Macaca fascicularis: one gene and its partners. The protein of the gene in region 1 purifies or fractionates together with the protein of each later gene. This does not show direct contact. Links are inferred from orthologs where the notes say so. Each region holds a gene or a part of one and is shown on either strand. Other genes may lie near its edges. The genes, in order: TRIM21, IRF3 and MAVS.

The links.
Region 2: the proteins of TRIM21 (region 1) and IRF3 purify together in Homo sapiens (affinity purification with western blotting; 3 studies listed by BioGRID, with this or other methods). This does not show direct contact. The link is inferred for Macaca fascicularis from reciprocal best matches to the Homo sapiens genes TRIM21 and IRF3.
Region 3: the proteins of TRIM21 (region 1) and MAVS purify together in Homo sapiens (affinity purification with western blotting; 3 studies listed by BioGRID). This does not show direct contact. The link is inferred for Macaca fascicularis from reciprocal best matches to the Homo sapiens genes TRIM21 and MAVS.

What each region holds. Positions count from the first base shown.
Region 1 is NC_088388.1:70,002,758-70,006,504, reverse strand, and holds the start of TRIM21 (E3 ubiquitin-protein ligase TRIM21), read right to left. Parts: upstream 2,569-3,747; 5' UTR 2,522-2,568; intron 1-2,521. UniProt on the Homo sapiens protein: E3 ubiquitin-protein ligase whose activity is dependent on E2 enzymes, UBE2D1, UBE2D2, UBE2E1 and UBE2E2.
Region 2 is NC_088393.1:57,636,830-57,640,576, reverse strand, and holds the start of IRF3 (interferon regulatory factor 3), read left to right. Parts: upstream 1-1,070; 5' UTR 1,071-1,299; exon of another isoform or gene 1,300-1,303; intron 1,304-1,752; 5' UTR 1,753-1,872; intron 1,873-2,088; 5' UTR 2,089-2,096; coding exon 2,097-2,348; exon of another isoform or gene 2,349-2,432; coding exon of another isoform or gene 2,433-2,492; intron 2,493-3,273; coding exon 3,274-3,445; intron 3,446-3,529; coding exon 3,530-3,600; intron 3,601-3,747. Other genes in the region: BCL2L12 (bcl-2-like protein 12), read right to left, coding at 137-243.
Region 3 is NC_088384.1:83,440,292-83,444,038, forward strand, and holds the start of MAVS (mitochondrial antiviral-signaling protein), read right to left. Parts: upstream 2,638-3,747; 5' UTR 2,578-2,637; intron 1-2,577.

The DNA of each region.
Region 1 (3,747 bases):
AGAATTGGAGTAAAAATTTGCAAACTATCCATCTGACAAAAGGTGAATAACCAGAATATATAAGGAACTCAAACCACTCTATAGGAAAAAAAATAATAATCTGATTCAAAAATGGACAAAAGATCTGAATAGACATTTCTCAAAAGAAGACACACAAATGACAAACAGGCATATGAACAGTTGTTCAACATCATTATCGGAAAAATGCAAATCAAAACTACAATGAGATATAATCTCATCTCAGTTAAAATGCCTTTTATCCAAAAGACAGGCTATAACAAATGCTGGGGAGGGTGTGGAGAAAAGGGTACACTCACGCGCTATTGGTAGGAAGGTAAATTAGTACAATCACTACAGGGAACAGTTTGGAGGTTCTTCAAAAAACTGAAAATAGGGCTACCATATGATCCAGCAATCCCACTGCTAGTATATACCCCAAAGAAAGGAAATCAGTATATCAAAGAGATATCTACATTCCCACGTTTACGGCAGCATGTTTCACAATAGCCAAGATTTGGAAGCAATCTAAGTGTCCATCAACAGATAAATGGATAAAGAAAATGTGGTACATATGCACAATGGAGTACTATTCAGTCATAAAATATAATGAGATCCTGTCATTCACAACAACATGAATGGAACTGGAGGTCATTATGTTAAGTGAAATAAGCTAGGCACCAAAAGACAAACATTGTATGTTCTCACTCATTTGTAGAAGCTAAAAATTAAAACAATTGAACTCATGGAGTTAGATAAAATAGAAAGATGGTTACCAGAGGCTGGGAAGAGTAGCAGGGAGGGTGTGTGTGTGTTGGGGAAGGTGGGATGGTTAATGAGTACAAAAGTGGAGTGAATTAGATCTAGTATTTGATAGCACGATAGAGTGACTATAGTCAATAATTTAATTGTACACTGAAAACTAAGAGTATAATTGCATAGTTTGTATCACAGATGATCAATGCTTGAGGTGATGGATGCCCTATTTACCCGGATGTGATTATGACACATAGTATACCTGTATCAAAATATTCCATATACCCCATAAATATACCTACTATGTGCCCACAAAAGTTAAAAATAAACTAAAAAAAGAAGAAAAACAAAATGACACAAAGGAAAATAAAAAAGAAAAATAAAAATAATGAGTCAGGCACGGCGGCTCATACCTGCAACCCCAGCACTTTGGGAGGCTGAGGTGGGTGGATCACCTTAGGTCAGGAGTTCAGTTCAAGACCAGCCTGACCAATATGGTAAAACTCCGTCTCTACGAAAGATACAAAAATTAGCTGGGAGTGGTGGTGGGCGCTTGTAATCCCAGCTACTCAGGAGGCTGAGGCAGCAGAATTGCTTAAACCTGGGAGGCAGAGGTTACAGTGAGCCGAGATTCTGCCATTGCACTCCAGCCTGGGCAACAGAGTGAGACTTCCTCTCAATAAATAAATAAATAAATAAATAAAAGGCATAAAATTAATGGCAAAACAATTAATGTCAAAAACAGTAATTACTTTTACACCGATCAAATAGTTTGTTGAGTAAGTTTATTCTTGTTCTGAATAACAAGAACTCCTCCATTGTTGGTCCATTGATCCAGTGAGACAGAAGGAGACACTAAGTCCCTAAAAGAGGGAGTGAAAATTGGCAAGAACCTCATAAAGCTGTTGACAGTTCTACTCTCATCATGTCCATTCCTGCTTAAACCCTCAGTGCTCATTCATCTCCTGTCTGGTACCAACAGGCCTCCATGCTGCTGAGAAATTATAGCTACTTTTTACCATGTACCTTCCATGTGCCAGACATACTTCATGCTTTGAATATATCTTCATTAATACTTCCTATAACGGCAGATGTCAGGTGTATATAGGTATGTAGGTGTATACGTATATACACAAGCATGTGTATATGTATGTATACACACAGAGCAACAGGAACTGTGGCCAGCACTCCCTGGGCTCTTTTCTCAGCTGCTCCAAACTTAGTTTAGTTCCTGACAACACTTATTCTAGGGCAAAGAATAATTTTGAATACATTTCTGGTTGAACATCCTAAACAGCCTTCCCCTCTCACCTCTGGAGGACTTTTGGACCTGGGAATCTCCAGAATTGCAGACCTCCCCGACATGAGCTCCCTACCCGTCCTGGCTAGGCTGTAGTCCTGGCTCTCCCAGCCGCACCCAGCCTTCATCCCAGGTCACGTGCCAGCATCGGGGCAGCCGGGCCCCTTCCCCTTCTGGGTAACTCGGCAGTCACGTCCACAACCCAGCCTCCTCCCAGGAAGGGGGCAGCCGGGTCCCTTCCCCTTCTGGGTAACTCGGCAGTCATGTCCACACCCCAGCCTCCTCCCAGGTAGGGGGCCAGCGCCGGAAGCACAGCTGGTCTTGGGTTGAGGGATCCCTGGTGCGAGAAGGGGCAAATGGGACCGGCTCAAGGATGGAGACTGATTGAAGGGGCTGGGCAACCCTGGGGCAGGGGAGAGAGGTCCCCTAGGAGGGCAGGGGTCCCTTGATCTAGTGGGGTTCACTCACCTTTACAGGGGACTCAACGCTGGTAGCCAGCTCCCTATTTCACTTTCAGTTTCCGCTCAGAGGCAAGTCTGAGAGGAAAGGGGAGGGAGGAGGAGGAGAGTGGGAGGAGTGAGGGAGGAGCAGTGGGAGGAGCAGAGCCTTGAAAGCCTTGTGTGGAGAAATGCTGATGAGAAGCAAGAGAGGTGGGAGGAGAGAAGGTAGAGAGGTGAGAGGAGAGAAGTCAGAGTTGGACTGGGGGAGGCTTCAGAGGCTCTGGACGCCCAGGGGGCTTCTCTGAGACTGGTAAGGAGTGGAAACTCAGTAGCCCGTGGTCCTGGGTGCGCGCTCCCTCCCATGTCTTCATTATCCGGTTTGGTAAAATATCTACATGACGGGGGAGTCCGGGCTACTTTCTTTGACACTGGTCATCACCCCACACCTAGATGCTATGTGCATGTCTGGAAGCTGCTTTTAAGGAAGTTTCTGATGCAGAGGAGTGGCCGGTGCTCTTCCTCGCGTGCCACCATCTGCTTACTTCCAGAAGCTAATTATTTTCATGTGACTGATGTGACTAATATTTTTTTAACACTTGCAGGTGAGTGATTTATTTCACATGACCCCAAGGTAAGTGTCCCACCAGTGAGTGGTGAGAAGGGAATTGACATTTGACAATCAACTGTGTTCTTGTCACTGAGCTAGGGACATTCTCAGGTTATATTATTTTTATTTTTAATCGTAAAACATACAGAATATAAAATTTACCAAAGTAATTTTTTAATTTTCAATTTTGTGTGTCTATAGTAGGTGTATATATTTATGGGGTACATGAGATATTTTGATGCAGGTAGAGCATACAATCCGTAATAATCACATCAGGGTAAGTGGGGTATCTGTCCATCACCTCAAGCATTTATCATTTGTGTTATATACAATCCAATTACATGCTTTTAGTTATTTTAAAATGATAAATTATTGACTCTATTCATCTTGTTATGCTATAAAACACTAGATCTTATTCATTCTATGTCATGTATTTTTGAACCCATTAATCATCCCCTGCACCCTTGCCCCACTACCCTTCCCAGACTTTGGTAACCATCATCCTCTCTATCTTAATGAATTCAATTGTTTTAATTTTTAGCTTCCACAAACAAGTGAGAACATAACTGTTTGTTTGTTTGCCTGTGCTTGGTTTATTTTACCTAACATAATAATCCCCAATTCCATCCATCTTGTAGCAAATGAAA
Region 2 (3,747 bases), on another chromosome or scaffold:
TCCCCCGCTGAGGACCTCTCTCCAAAACAGAGAATAGAGCCAGATATAAAGAGAGGAGACAGACTGAGACCAGGAGCAAGAGTTAGGAGGGAGCCTCAAATGCTGGCCCCTGGGGGAGAAGGGCAACTCCTCTTACCTGAGTGGAGTTGGAACAGGAGACCCGGCAGCCTCACCACGCCTAAGGAAGGCAGCTAGGACCCTCAGCGTGTCTTCCCGGAGCCCCAGCTCTTCAGAGCCTGCCATGGAGGCACCTGTGAGAGAGGGGACTAGGGACTGGACTCCAAGGGGTTAGCAAGAAGTGGAGGCTTGGTTGGGGACCAGGACTTGTGAGTCCCAAGGAAGGCCTGGACTCCTGGGTCATTTGGAAAGTGTCGGTCTAGGGGCCTAGACTCTTGAGTCCTCAGACGAAAGAGGGGTCAGGAAAGACTCTTTGATCCAAGGAAAGGTGGGGGGGCTGGGTGCCCAGATTCGTGGGTCTAAAGGAGGAGGGAGATGGGGTCTAGACTCCTGAGTCTTAGAGAGAAAGGAACTGGAGCCCCAGACCCTTAGGTCTCCCAGGAAGAAGGGGCTTAGCGCCCCAACTCCTGGATTCTATAAGAGGCATATGCCAAACTACTGAAACCCTTAAAGCATCGGGAACTACCAATCCCAGGAGGCTTCAGGGCAAATCTTCCCCTCGGTCCGCGCTTCTTCGCCGCGCAGCCTGCTGTGAGGTGTAGTTCCAAATCCCCGACTCCTGCTGGAATCTAGAGGACCCTGGACCCTTGGATGTCGGAGAAGCGGGACTGGGGTGCCCACTACTGGATCCTGGCCCGCTCCTCTTCCCTCCTTACCCCACCCCTCGTCAACACCCCGCTGACCTGGTCCGGGGCCTCACCGCCGCCTCCTCCACTCAACCTGCCGCCGCCTCCACTCAACTTGTACAAACTTTATTAGTTCAACTTTCCCGCGCCTGCGCACTGGGCCGGGTCGGTAACTGGCCCAACGAAGAAAGGGCGGAACGCTGGATGCACGCTCAATTTGCATGTGACGCTCCCAGCATGCCTCTGGCCGGAAACCCAAAAAAGGGCATAGGGGCGGGGACAGCCCCGGGCCCCGCGGGCCGTCCGTTCGGCTCCGGGGTGTGTTACCCAAAGAATGATAAAGTTGGTTTTATTTCAAGAAGTCGATCGAAAAGAAAGCCTCAGCGTCTAGAGTTCAGCTGACGGGAAAGGGGGTGCGCAGCCCCGACTTTGAGAGCTATCCGGAGCCCCAAAACAGGGGTGGGCGCCAGCTCCCTGCACGCCCTGAGCTTCTATCGTAGGTAACGCGGAAGAGCCTGGGAGAGCGTTAGTGGCGTCCGAGAGCGAGGAGCGGGAAACAGGATGGGTCTGCACGGAGAGTGGAAAGGCAGGCTGTGTACTCTGGGGAAAGTGGAGCAAGGAAGGAGCTACAGTGGCCGACGCTGGAGGTCGGCTGGAGAAAAACTAGAAAAAGTAGGGAGGAAAGAGGAAAACAGGAGGCGTCTACACTGAGGGGTTCTACAGAGGGAAGGATGGACTCCGTACATGGGTGTAGTTCACTCCCGAAACCTGAGGCGTGCTCTGTCCTGGAGGAGGGGGGCTGGCAGTCGAGGAGGAATTGGATGGAAGTTCTGTGTTGGAAATGTTTCGGGGGATCTTCTGTAGGGGGACTGGGGAAGGGGATCTACACTGGGGTAAATGCAGGAGATAGAGGCTTACACGTGAATCGATTCTGCACTGAAATAACTAGGGAAAGAGGATGCTACCCTGAAAGTGGGGATACTTGCTTTCGATGATGTCGGGGAGAGAGGAGGTCTATACTGGCGGAATTGAGAGAGTGGAGGGTCTGCACTGAAGACACTGGGGAAGGGTATGCCATGGATATGGGAAGGAACCCTAGCGGATTAAGGAGCCTCTCGGGAAGATGGGAGGATGGGAAGAGGAGGTTTCCTGTTTGTACCCCCGAAAATATGGGTGAAGGACCTGTGCCGTGGCCCGTGAGAGGGAGGGTTCTGGGTGCGGAAACTCCAGGCCAGGTGGGTCCGGGGGAGGCCGGTCGCGCCCAGAAAATGCCCTATACGCGCAGGCCGGACCATGGGAACCCCAAAGCCACGGATCCTGCCCTGGCTGGTGTCGCAGCTGGACCTGGGGCAACTGGAGGGCGTGGCCTGGGTGAACGAGAGCCGCACGCGCTTCCGCATCCCTTGGAAGCACGGCCTACGGCAGGATGCACAGGAGGAGGATTTCAGAATCTTCCAGGTGCGTGAGACGACCGGGGACGCTGGAAACCCTGAGCTGCGCGCGGGGCAGAAAGGACTCCTAGCGGGCCGGGCTGAGACGGCGGAGGTATCGCCCGAGGGGCTGGCTCGTGCCAACGTTGGTGGGTGGGGCTAGAACGGGAGGGGCGGGGCTAGCCGGATCAGCTGACTGATGGTGGGACGCAAGCAGGGTTGGAGCTGCCCGGTTACGGCAATAAAACCGGGAAAGCCGGTTAGTACGCAAAGGAAATGAATCCTGGGGTTTTGGGGCTCTCTAGGGGCCGGGGCTCTTGGTTGTAGGATAGATACTGGGGGATGGTTTTTGAAACATCAGAGGTGAGACCTGGAGCCCCAAATCTGGGGTTCCTAACCACTGAATTAGTATATGCCAGAGGTGGTAAACAGTGTGAGGGGCGGGGTTATCACAGAGGGTGTCGCGGGGCAGGTGGTGCACGGGGTTAGACACCAAGTTGGACTTGGAAGCCTGGCTTAGAAAGAAGAGTTTTTTGGGCCGGGCGCCGTGGTTCACACCTGTAATCCCAGCACTTTGGGAGGCCGAGGCGGGCTATCACCTGAGGTCAGGAGTTTGACACCAGCCTGGCCAACATGGTGAAAATACAAAATCATTGGTGAAAATACAAAATTATCTACTAAAAATACAAAACTTAGCCAGGTGCGGTGGTGCCCGCCTGTAATGCCAGCTACTCAGGAGGCTGAGACAGGAGAATTGCTTGAACCAGGGAGGCGGAAGTTGCAGTGAGCTGAGATTGCGCCATTGCATTCCAGCCTGGGTGACAAGAGTGAAACTCCATCTCAAAAAGAAAAAAAGGCTTTTAAAAACTCGAGGTGGGGGATGGAGGTAGATAGGACGGGGGGATTTGGGGATGGAACTTGCAGACTTAGAACTTGCCAGGGAAAGAGGGTGGTGTTAGGATCCAGGAGACAGGGTTAGGGCCCCAGGAGCAGGATCTAAGTCGTCCTCCCCCACTATCCTGACACCACTGTTGCCCCAGGCCTGGGCCGAGGCCACTGGTGCGTACGTTCCCGGGAGGGATAAGCCAGACCTGCCAACCTGGAAGAGGAATTTCCGTTCTGCCCTCAACCGCAAAGATGGGTTGTGTTTAGCAGAGGACCGGAGCAAGGACCCTCACGACCCACATAAGATCTACGAGTTTGTGAACTCAGGTCTGCCAGATCGGGGTTCATGTGGGAGGCTGGGGTCCCAAGGGTTCCTGGCACCCCTACTCCCCTCACCACCTTTCTCAACAGGAGTTGGGGACTTTTCCCAGCCAGACTCCTCTCCGGACACCAATGGCGGAGGCAGTACTTCTGATACCCAGGTGAGAATGTGCCCAACCTTCATGCCCCTCAGTCTCTGTCGTGTCCCCATGGGCCTTGTCCTCTCCCTGTGGACCATCCCCCCGCTTCCCTGCCTCCAGCCTGCCCCTTACCTGAGCCAGTGGTGGCCCCGTCTGTTCCTGCTCCAG
Region 3 (3,747 bases), on another chromosome or scaffold:
CACTCCAGCCCCGGGACAGAGCGAGACTCCGTCTCAAAAAATAAATAAATAAATAAATAAATAAAAATAAAAATAAAAAAAAATAAAATAAAAATACAAAAATTAGCATAGTGGTGGGTGCCTGTAATCCCAGCTACTCAGGAGGCTGAGGCAGGAGAACTGCTTGAACCCAGGAGGCAGAGGTTGCAGTGAGCCGAAATCGTGCCCATTGCACTCCAGCCTGGGTGACAAGAGCAAAACTCCATCAAAAAAAAAAAAGCAAGCAAGCAAGCTAGGGAAAGGGGCAGAGATTGTCAAGGTCAAGGAGGTGGCAGGGGCCACTCATGTAGAGTGCTATAAGAAAGGACTCTGGGTTTTAGTTGGTGTGAAACAGGGAACCACTGGAAGGTTCTGGCAGGGAAAGAAGAGGATCTGATTTGCGTTAAAGACTTCTCTGGTGGTTGTGAGGACTTTGGAGGGGCCAGGATGAAAACTGGGAGACCAGTCAGGAGGCCACAGCCCAGGAGACAGGATGATTATGGTCAGGATGGGAACCACAGAGATGGAAGGAGGCAGCCAGATTCCTGGTGTTTTGAGGGTGTAGGAGATAAGGGAGAGAAAAGAAGGATGACTCCTTGGGCACTGGATGGATGGAAGGTGCCCTTTTACCAAGCCAAAGAAGCCAGGGGAGGAGCAGTGGCTCAGAAGGAACTCCAGAACTCAGGTCTGAACAAGTGAAGCTTGAGATGCTATTGGATTCCAAGTGGGTTGTCAGGGAGGGAAGGAGACAGGAGAGGACCAAATGGGCATCAGGCAGGCATGAAACCTCTCTCAGGAGGCAGTGCTGCAAGCAGACAGCATCTAAAAGCTGCTGGGCCACCAGACCCTCCTCACAGGGGAAACAGTCTTGTCACTGGCCTCAGAACCTCACATGCACGACTTGCTTTGCCAACCACCAGGCGCTGCTGCATTCCTCCTGGGGCAAGTACTAATGACAGGTCGGGAGAGTCAGGAAGGTGAGGTGGGGGTCCTCTGAGCCTTCAAGAAATAAGCAAAGAACAACTCTGTGGGAGTTAACAGACTCCTTTCTCGGCCAGGCATGGTGGCTCATGCCTGCAATTCCAGCATTTTGGGAGGCCAAGGCGGGCAGATCACTTGAGGTCAGGAGTTTGAGACCAGCCTGGCCAACATGGTGAAACCCAGTCTCTACTAAAAATGCAAAAATTAGCCAGGCATGGTATCAGACACCTGTAATCCCTGCTACTTGGGAAGCTAAGGCATGAGAATCTCTAAACCCAGGAGGCGGAGGTTGCAGTGAGCCCAGATTGGGCCGCTGCGCTCCAGCCTGGGCAAGAGAGTGAGACTCCATTTCAAAAAAAAAAAAAAAAAAGACTCCTTTCTCCTTCCTTTCTCATGGCATCAGCCAGGTACCAGGAGGCAGTCAGATGAAGCACTCTTCTGCATTCCAGCCTAAGCCACAGATGGAGGAGAAGGGACGATGTGGCCCAACCAAAAGGAAAGGAAGCCCACATTTGTTCACATTTATGGAGGGCGCACTGCAGACAGGCACATCCTAAGGTTCTTTCAGTTAAACCTTCCCCAATCCCGTGACAGGGAAAGTGATGCCAAGGTGCACAGCTGGCCAAAGGCTAGCACAGGATTTGAACCCAGAAACTGCTGCCTCACTGTAGCCAGTCATAAACCTTGCAGGGCACAGAGACCCCTGCAGCAAGAGAGACCCACACAGTCACCTGCCTTCAAGCCCAAAGAGGACCCAAGGTCACTTGGTGGAGGGGAGGCTGAGGGTGCACTTGGGAGGAAGCAACATTTAGTACAAACATTAACCCTGCCCTCACATGGCTGCCACAGGCCCCAGGTCGCTGGCTGTCCTCCTAGATATTTTTGAGGCTTCACGGCTTCCATACAGAGAATGCCTTTTTCGTGTTTTTGGTTTGTTTCATTGTTTTCCTGGCACCTCCTTCCCATCTGAGAAGGAAGGAGGTGACAGAGTGTTCCCGATGCAGCAAAGTTTCCGACCTGATTGTCCAGAGGCTCTGAGTGCATCCCGGAAATAAATACCCACCCCCACCAAAGGCACAGGCCTCACAGCCTCGGATCGGATTCCTGGGCGAGACCCAGGTCCGCTGAGGGCGGGGAGGCTGTTCTGAGCTGGTGTCGCCGCCAAGAACTGTCCGGACCCAGGGGAGGGCAGCAGCACTCGACCTCAAGGCGCAACTAGTCGAGGCTCCGCCCCAACTTAGCGTCACCCTGGGCCCGCGGGCGGCAGGAAGAGGTCAGCGGCCGCTGCCCGTCCCCTTCTAGCCCTACTTTTCCCCTAGCCGGAGCAGACGCCCAGCGCGACCCACCCCCTTTTCCCTGGATGCTGGATGCGGCGCCTGGAGCCCTCAATGTTCCCGAACCCCGTGCGCCACAGGGCCGACTCTTCCGGAGCCCCGCGCGCCCTGTCCCCTCCTGGGCCCCCGCGGCCCCAGACCCAGGGCGTCCCGGCGGACTCGGTACTGCCGCTGCAGCCACCTTCCCTAAAGGCGTCCGTGCGTGCTGAGCCGAGAGGACCCATCGCCCGGGCAGCGATCTTACCTCGAGTAGCCCCGACCCTGAGACCTGGCGACCGCCGCCCGGGGCCCAAGACCCCTCCCTCGGCGAGGGGGCGGGGCGGGCAGGGCGCGCGGCTATTGGTCACGTGGAGGGGCAGGGCTACTCGGCCGCGCGTGGTTGGCTGGCGGCGCAGGCCGCGGCGCGGCGGGGGCGGGCACTGGGCCTTGGTTTGCTGGTCGAGAAGCGCTAGGCTGGGCACCGAGAACCGACCTGATTTTCTGCTGAGGGCGCGTAGTCTCGAGCAACTTCCAGGGGAAGTCCAGTGTCCGGCCAGAAACCAGGCAGGCGGCCGGCCTCGAAGTCCTCAGGGGGCTGAGAATTCCATCCCCACGCTTCCCAAGTGAAACAGCCCCTCCTTCCGCCGGTAGTTTTGATGGGTGAGGGTCTTCGTGTCTTTCTCTCCTGCATCCCCATGGCCAGGCATACAGTTAGTGCCCAATAAACGTTGGGTGACGCTGAAGTCACAGGGGCAAGGATGCATAGCCTAGAGACGCGCATGCTGGGCCTGTGGGAGTGGGAGCGGGCGGGGGACTGCCGGGCAGGTAGTTGCAAGGCAGGGACGCCGAGGTTGGCTGGCTGGCAGGCTGGGTATGGGTTGGGTCCTGCGTGGGAGAGGCCTCTTACGCCCAAGGGCCTGGGACAGGTACCTCCCGCAGTTCCTGCCATCTGTCTCGCCCTTCCTCTTCTGGGGCAGAGGCCAACACTTATTGAGCACTTACTGCCTTCCAGGCACAGGGCCTTCTATTTTTTTTTTTTTTTTTTTTTTTTTTTTTTTGAGACAGAGTCTCCCTCTGTCGCCACCACGCCCGGCCTCAAGTGAGATTTTATTACTGTACTTTATATCCCTGTGAATATTTCACAACCTTCAGCATTTACAAAGTATGCTTAATCACACCTGAACTGTAATAAAACCAGCTCTGCCTAGTTTAGCCAAGAGGGCATAAATGTGGATTAGTTCAAGAATCAAGCCTGCCTGCTCCCCACCGGGCTCTAGCAGCTTCATATCTAATACTTCCCCCCTCCCCACCCCCGAGACGGGGTCTCTTTCTGTCTCCCAGGCGGGAGTGCAGTGGCGCGATCTCAGCTCACTGCAAGCTCCGCCTGCCGGGTTCTCCTGCCTCAGCCCCCCCCCCTCAATAGCTGGGACTACAG